Linked DNA regions of Xenopus tropicalis. The protein of the gene in region 2 purifies or fractionates together with the protein of the main gene of each other region. This does not show direct contact. Links are inferred from orthologs where the notes say so. Each region holds a gene or a part of one and is shown on either strand. Other genes may lie near its edges.

Region 1 (3,948 bases), on a different chromosome or scaffold from region 2:
AAAGGAGAAGATGCTTTCCCTTGAGATTACATTTAAATATGAAAGCGAAGCTTCTATTTGGTATACTGGCAAACATCCCAGCATTTGGCTGACTCAGTATGTAGTTGAAACAATCCCTAGTTAACAGCACACTTTATGAAATATGGTATTTCTTCCAAAGGGGTCCATCCTGTTCTGTGTATAGATCACCTTTCTGGCGACTTCAGCTGCCATAATATTTGAATAACAATAGCCATGCCAGGAGCAATGGTGCAACTTAGATTTAAAAAAAATGATCCAGTAATAACTGTTTTTATTGGAAAAGATCATGGGGGAACAAGCACAACTATGATATTTACAAGAGATATAACAATCTTAATGGGTACTACATGGAACTAAATCTTTGCATTTCACTCTTTGAATTTCCATTCCTGACGACACATAGGGCAGTGCTGCTGCACCTGCTGGGAATTCAGCCATTTTAAGATGCAATGCATGTGGAAGCAGTGAGAGCAGTGACCCCACACCAATGGGCAGTCATCTCCTGGGATTTTACCTGCAAGGGCAAGAGTGAGAGACATTGAAGTATAGTGGCGTATAGGTGTCCTGAGAAGAACAGTGTTGTATAATATGAAGTAGTAAGTTATAAGGGGTGGTTCACCATTAAGTTAACTTTTAGTATGTAATAGAATGGTCTATTCTTAGATTATAGTTTTTGAATGATATGCCTTCTGCTAACTCTTTGCAGCTTTCAAATGGAGGTCACTGACCCCAGCAGTCAAAATCAATTGCTCTGTGAGGCTACAGTTTTATTATTTTTGTTACTTTTTATTGTTTATTTTTATATTCAGGCTCCTCTGTTCATATTGCAATCTCTCTTTCAAACCACTGCAAGGTTGCTAGGTTAAATTGGGACCTAGCAACCATATAGCCACTGAAAGCCCAACCCGAATTGCTGCTGGACAAGCGAAATAATTAAAAAACCCCAAATAATAAAAAATCAAGACCAATTGCAAACTGTCTCAGAATATTACTCTCTACATCATACTAACAGTTAATTCAAAGTTGAACAATCCCTTTAACTACTTGTAGGCATTATAGTACACTCTGCCTTGCTTTGCCATGTTTACCCTGTCTGCCCATTGCCTACCTACTTGCCTTGTTGTTTACCTGTGCTGTAATACAACTTCCATCAGTTGGCAAGCATCCCTCCTATCTAGCTCTGCTTCCTACTTGGATCCAATTGCATTTATATTGATCAGTGGCACCTAAGGCTCTTTTGACTCTCCTGCTCATGACAAGAAAGAAGTCAGCTGCATAAAGCCATAGGAAACAGCATGTTTTTATAGGAGAACTATACCCCCCGGGCGCAAAAAGCACCCATAACTATCACTGCCTAGACCCCTTCAACTCTCCCTAATCACATTGTTTTTAAGTTTAATGCCCACCACCTTCTTACTGACTGAAGACTCTTTGGGTCTCACCGCAGACACCGAACCTGCTTGCACATGTGCAGTTGAAGTGGATTTCCTGTTACCCCCAACTGCGCATGCACAAGCAGGTTCGTATCGGCGGAGAGACCCAAAGTGTCTTCAGTCAGTAAGATGATGTTGGGCAGGTAGGCGGCTGCGCTCCTCTGCATTATTAGCTATTGGTTAGAGATAGGGACAGACATTAAACTTAAAAACTTTGATAAGGGAGAGGTGAGGGGGGGGGGGTCTAGGCAGTGATAGTTATGGGTGCTTTTTGTGCCCAGGGGTATAGTTCTCCTTTAAGGAACCACATATTATTTGATGCCATAATGATTTAAAGGAGAAGGAAAGCCTAAGTCACTTGGGGGTGCCTAAATGTTAGGCACTCCCAAGTGACTTTAATCGCTTACCTTGTACCCTGGGCTGGTGCCCCTGTTAGGAGAAAACAGCACCAGCCCGGGGTAGCTGTAGCGCTTCCTTCTTCTGCGTTTGCCCCCTGCAATTAGAGTGAAAAGATGAACTTTGTTGTTAAAGTTCAGCTTTTCACTCTAATGCGCATGCCCCGGGCCAGGGAATTTGCCGCAGAATAAGGAAGCGCTGCAGCTACCCCGGTGCTGTTCTCTAACAGGGGCACCAGCCCGGGGTACAAGGTAAGAGATTAAAGTCACTTGGGGGTGCCTAACATTTTGGCACCCCCAAGTGACTTTGCCTTTCCTTCTCCTTTAAAGTGGTTCTTTATTTTAAACCTAATGCCAGAATAGCAGGGTGTCATGTTAGGATATCCCTATTAGTCAGAATACCTACAGCCTTGCTTACTTCAGAACAAGCAAGTAAAAACAGTAAAATGAGAAACAAAAATCATTTGTAAAGAAGCGAGGAATCTCCAATGTAACACTCACAGGCTTGTGTGCTAGCGGATTAAATATGTACAACTGTTCTAACATAAGGGATCCTCATTAGAATGTAAAGGGCTCCAGACTATAGAAACCCTGGCACAGGCCATGAAGCCATGTAGTAAGCCCCATTACAGGGCATGTACATAGGCCTATGCTCCTCTGAGCACTCACATTCAGGGCAGCAGCCATTAAATGCCATACGACAGATCCCACAGTTGTCATCATTAGCCACCCATTGCCAAGAGGCAACGCCATTCCAGCACTTCAAGCGAACCTTCATGACGAGCCTGGAAAACAGAAGCATATTGTAATGATGCACACAATCCTCATGAACTAGAATGCACAGGCCCCACTATGTGCAACTGCTAAGGGCCACACACAGCCTGCACTCCCATAATAAAAACACATAAAACCCATATCGCTACTTACACCTCCTGCAAATATGCTTACAGCCTCCTCACAGAGGACGAGCGTTACGACTACACGTAGCGCAGTGACGCACACGGAGCCGCCCAGTGGGCGTGGCCAATCGGTGTAACATAAGAGGGAAGTGCTGCTCGGTTGCGGTACATTCTCTCATCAAAATCTGTTCTTATTCTGCTCGCACCTTCTATTGTTTGAAAACAGAAAAGACGACTTTTGTGTTGTTTATCGCCATGGCTTGTGGCACCTTAGCTCCCAGTCTCCTTACAAATCATTTGTATTGGCTGTACAGAGCTTCTGCTTGTGCCATCAGAGAGACCTCTCCCGAACTGACCCAAATGGGAAGACGTTTTGTGCAAACTAGGGCAAAGTGAAATTGTAATCATTCTAGATTTTTATTTTAGTTTAATCCACGTTTATTGAACGTAATATGAATTGCAATAAAACTCAAACTCACAGATCTGCTTTACCGAGGCGTAATTATCCTAAAACCCTTTATGATTATATAATACCTTAATCTCAGGTAGCAGTTTATCTCGAAGAGTCAGCGACACACAGATTAATACTTAGTTCAACTGAAATGATAGCAGATAGATATTAAGTCCTGTTAAACAAAAGAATTTTGTAAAGGTCCCCATACAAGGCCGATTATAGCTGCTGATATGGGTCCCTTGGACTGATTTGGCAGCTTATCGGCCTGTGTAGGGGCAGAACCGAGGGGCCTGGCCTACCGATATCTGGCCTGAAATTGGGCAGATATCAATCGCCCAGGTTAGAAAATTCAGTCGGATCGGGGACCGCATCGGCTCGTTGATGCGGTCCCCGAACCGACTGCCCCATTGCTGCCCACATAATCCGATCGTTTGGCCCTAAACGCTCCCCGGTATCGCCCGCCCGTAGCGTGTATGGGGACCTTAACTGATCATAACACACATAGGGGCACATTCATTAAAGTAAGACAGGTCCGATTACAAAAAATTTGTACCAATTTTTGATCAGAAATTATGTTTTCTTGAAAGTACTTGACATATTTCTGATTGTCTTCTCTAATGGTGCATCTTTGTGTAAATTTATCCAAGTATTTTTGTACTTAAAATGACACATAATATTCTCATAATAGAAGACAATGGCTGCTAATCTATCAGCATGCCTGGTAAGCAGCAGACCATATCTGTTGA
Region 2 (4,084 bases):
CCAACACTGGTCTCTGCTGCTCTCACAGCCCGGGCACTGCCACTCATCGGCGCCTCTCTCGTCCGAGTCGCTCTCGCGCTCATTCTCATTCATGCTGCTGTCACTCCCGCCGCCGCCGCCGCCGTCTCCTCTCTTTCTCTGCTTCATGTATATCTTAAAGGTCCGGCTGTAGAACTGCTGGATCATGTCCTGGAAGTGGCTGGAGGTGGAGAAGAAAAGGATGGCCTTGAACATGGTGTAGACTTTATCCCGCAGCATCTGGGAGTCGGACGAGCCCAGCAGCCCCGTGTCGATCCACTTGGCGAGAATGTCCAGGCTGCGCAGGTAGGGCTCCAGGCGGGACACGAGCAGGCGAAAAGCGTCCAATAAGAGCACAGCGCAGTGCTCCTCCTCCACCGCATTCTCGTGCTGGTTGATTCCATTCCAGAACTCTGGGGCAATGTTCCTCTGTAGGTCCATCTGCAGAACTTCCGTGAACCATTCTTCCACCATGGAATGCAGGTCATAGAGGTGCAAGACTTCTAGAGCGCTCTTAAGGTGGGCTTCAACGACTGACTCCCCCGTGCTGGGTCTGGGTGCTGCCTGCAAAGGGAAGTAGGTAAAGCTTTATTATCTGTAAAGATAAACTCCTTATAGAACAGAAGGGGGTGAGGGGGCTCTATGGGAGATGTAGGGGGTGTCTGTGCCAGTACTGGGGTAAGGGGGTGCCACAGAAAGGTGTGAGGGGGCTCTATGGAGATGTAGGGGTGCCAGGTACTGGGGTAAGGGGGTGCCACAGAAGGGGGTGAGGGGGCTCTATGGGAGATGTAGGGGTGCCTGGGGTAGGAGTGGGTAAGGGGTGCCACAGGAAGGGGGTGAGGGGCTCTATGGGAGATGTAGGGGTGCCTGGGGTAGGAGTGGGGTAAGGGGGTGCCACAGGAAGGGGGTGAGGGGGCTCTATGGGAGATGTAGGGGTGCTGGGTAGGAGTGGGGTAAGGGGGTGCCACAGAGAGGGGGTGAGGGGGCTCTATGGGAGATGTAGGGGGTGCCTGGGGTAGGAGTGGGGTAAGGGGGTGCCACAGAGGGGGTGAGGGGGCTCTATGGGAGATGTAGGGGTGCCTGGGGTAGGAGTGGGGTAAAGGGGGTGCCACAGGAAGGGGGTGAGGGGGCTCTATGGGAGATGTAGGGGTGCCTGGGGTTAGGAGTGGGGTAAGGGGGGTGCCACAGAAGGGGGTGAGGGGGCTCTATGGGGAGATGTAGGGGTGCCTGGGGTAGGAGTGGGGTAAGGGGTGCCACAGAGGGGGTGAGGGGGCTCTATGGGAAGATGTATGGGGTGCCTGGGTAGGAGTGGGGTAAGGGGGTGGCCCACAGGAGGGGGTGAGGGGGCTCTATGGGAGATGTAGGGGGTGCTGGGGTAGGAGTGGGGTAAGGGGGTGCCACAGGAGGGGGTGAGGGGGCTCTAATGGGAGATGTAGGGGTGCCTGGGGTAGGAGTGGGGTAAGGGGGTGCCCACAGGAGGGGTGTGAGGGGGCTCAATGATGGGAGATGTAGGGAGTGCCTGGGTAAGGAAGGGGGTAAGGGAGGTGCCACAGGAGGGGGGTGAGTGGGCTCTTATGAGGGAGATGTAGGGGTGCCGTGGATGGTAAGGTGAGAGTGGGGAGTAAGGGAGGAGGGTGCCGAGCAGAGGGGGTAGGAGGGGCTCTATGGGAGATGTAGGGGTGCCTGGGGTAGGAGTGGGGTAAGGGGGACAGCGCACAGGAGGGGGTGAGAAGGGGGACTCTATGGAGAGATGTAGGGGTGCCACTGGGAAAGAAGTAGGAGGGGAACGGGGGAGAAGGTGCCACAGAGGAGGGGGTGGAGGGGGCTCTATGGGAGATGTAGGGGTGCCTGGGGTAGGAGTGGGTAAGGGGGTGCCTCAGGAGGAGAGGGAGGGGGCTCTAATGGGAATGTTAGGGTGCCTGGAGGTAAGGAGTGGGGGTGGGCCGACAGGAGGGGGGTAGAGCAAGGTGGGGTAGGGGGGTGCCTGGAGTAGGAGTGGGGTAAGGGGGTGCCACAGAGGGGGGTGAGGGGGCTCTATGGAGATGTAGGGGTGCTGGGCTAGGAGTGGGCTAAGGGGTTGCCACAGAAGGGGGTGGAGTAATGGGGATGTAGGGCCACAGGAGGAGAGGTGAGTGGGGCTCTCGGTGCCTGGGGAGGGTAGGATGAGCTGGGGGTGCCACAGGAGGGGTGAGGGGCTCTTGGCGAGATGCTAGGGTTGGGGTAGGATGGGTAAGGGGTGCCACAGGAGGGGTGAGGGCCTCTATGGAGATGTAGGGCGTGCCTGGCGGTAGGAGTGGGGTAAGGGTGCCACAGAAGGGGTTGAGGGGCTCTATGGGAGATGTAGGGGTGCCTGGGGTAGGAGTGGGGTTAAGGGGGCCCACAGGAGGGGTGAGGGGCTCTATGGGAGATGTAGGGGTGCCTGGGGTAGGAGTGGGGTAAGGGGGTGCCACAGGAGGGGGTGAGGGGGCTCTATGGGAGATGTAGGGGTGCCTGGGGTAGTACTGGGGTAAGGGGTGCCACAGGAGGGGGTGAGGGGGCTCTATGGGAGATGTAGGGGTGCCTGGGGTAGGGTGCCAGTCGGTGCTTACCAGGCCCAAGGCGGAGGGCGGTACAAGCCCGACGCTCAAGGCGTTCCAAGCCGCAGACAGCTGCTCCAGGCTACACTCAGACATCCCGCCGGCTGAGGGGAGAGCGGGCGCCTAGTAGTGACGTCACTCCGGGGCCATTAGTAATGACAGTGACAGGGAGCGGACTCCCATAACCATGGAGACCAGAGACGCGCTGAAGACAACGGAACGCCATGACGCCATCACGTAGGCTGTAGGTCTGGTCACATGGGTAGATTCTGCAGCGCTGATAGGCTGCCTGGGTCCGTGTGGGTACAAACAGGAGGGAGCTGCCGGCTGGAGATTTGAGCGGGTCCGGGGCCGGGAGCTGGGGCTGAGTGCGGGGAGACATGAGCCAACAGGGGGCCGCCCTTCAGACTTACAACAACGAGCTGGTCAAGTGTAAGCGATTTCCCCCTCTTATGTACTGCCTTGTACCCCCCTACTTCACCCCTGTGTGTGCCAGGCTGTACCCCAAAATACTAAGCATTCCCTATGGGTGCCAGGCTGTACCCCAAAATACTAAGCATTCCCTATGGGTGCCAGGCTGTACCCCAAAATACTAACCATTCCCTATGGGTGCCAGGCTGTACCCATATTGTAACCCAGTGTGTCAGACTGTACCCCCAAGTGTACTAGTTATCCCTGTGTGTGTCAGACTGTACCCCCAAGTGTACTAGTTATCCCTGTGTGTGTCAGACTGTACCCCCAAGTGTACTAGTTATCCCTGTGTGTGTCAGACTGTACCCCCAAGTGTACTAGTTATCCCTGTGTGTGTCAGACTGTACCCCCAAGTGTACTAGTTATCCCTGTGTGTGTCAGACTGTACCCCCAAGTGTACTAGTTATCCCTGTGTGTGTCAGACTGTACCCCCAAGTGTACTAGTTATCCCTTGTGTCAGACTGTACCCCCAAGTGTACTAGTTATCCCTGTGTGTGTCAGACTGTACCCCAAGTGTACTAGTTATCCCTGTGTGTGTCAGACTGTACCCCCAAGTGTACTAGTTATCCCTTGTGTCAGACTGTACCCCCAAGTGTACTAGTTATCCCTGTGTGTGTCAGACTGTACCCCCAAGTGTACTAGTTATCCCTGTGTGTGTCAGACTGTACCCCCAAGTGTACTAGTTATCCCTGTGTGTGTCAGACTGTACCCCCAAGTGTACTAGTTATCCCTGTGTGTGTCAGACTGTACCCCCAAGTGTACTAGTTATCCCTGTGTGTGTCAGACTGTACCCCCAAGTGTACTAGTTATCCCTTGTGTCAGACTGTACCCCCAAGTGTACTAGTTATCCCTTGTGTCAGACTGTACCCCCAAGTGTACTAGTTATCCCTTGTGTCAGACTGTACCCCCAAGTGTACTAGTTATCCCTTGTGTCAGACTGTACCCCCAAGTGTACTAGTTATTCCCAGTGTACTAGGCCGCCCCCAACCAAATGTACTAGCCAGGCTGTACCCCCAAAT

Evidence for each region. Proteins that work in one complex are often made in the same cells at the same time.
Region 1: the proteins of anapc2 (region 2) and anapc11 purify together in Homo sapiens (affinity purification with western blotting; 7 studies listed by BioGRID and IntAct, with this or other methods). This does not show direct contact. The link is inferred for Xenopus tropicalis from reciprocal best matches to the Homo sapiens genes ANAPC2 and ANAPC11.

What each region holds. Positions count from the first base shown.
Region 1 is NC_030686.2:27,902,867-27,906,814, reverse strand, and holds anapc11 (anaphase-promoting complex subunit 11), read right to left. Parts: upstream 2,801-3,948; 5' UTR 2,777-2,800; intron 2,635-2,776; 5' UTR 2,628-2,634; coding exon 2,519-2,627; intron 536-2,518; coding exon 390-535; 3' UTR 276-389; downstream 1-275. UniProt on the Homo sapiens protein: Together with the cullin protein ANAPC2, constitutes the catalytic component of the anaphase promoting complex/cyclosome (APC/C), a cell cycle-regulated E3 ubiquitin ligase that controls progression through mitosis and the G1 phase of the cell cycle.
Region 2 is NC_030684.2:1,703,698-1,707,781, forward strand, and holds the start of anapc2 (anaphase-promoting complex subunit 2), read right to left. Parts: upstream 2,801-4,084; 5' UTR 2,691-2,800; coding exon 2,607-2,690; intron 583-2,606; coding exon 1-582. UniProt on the Homo sapiens protein: Together with the RING-H2 protein ANAPC11, constitutes the catalytic component of the anaphase promoting complex/cyclosome (APC/C), a cell cycle-regulated E3 ubiquitin ligase that controls progression through mitosis and the G1 phase of the cell cycle.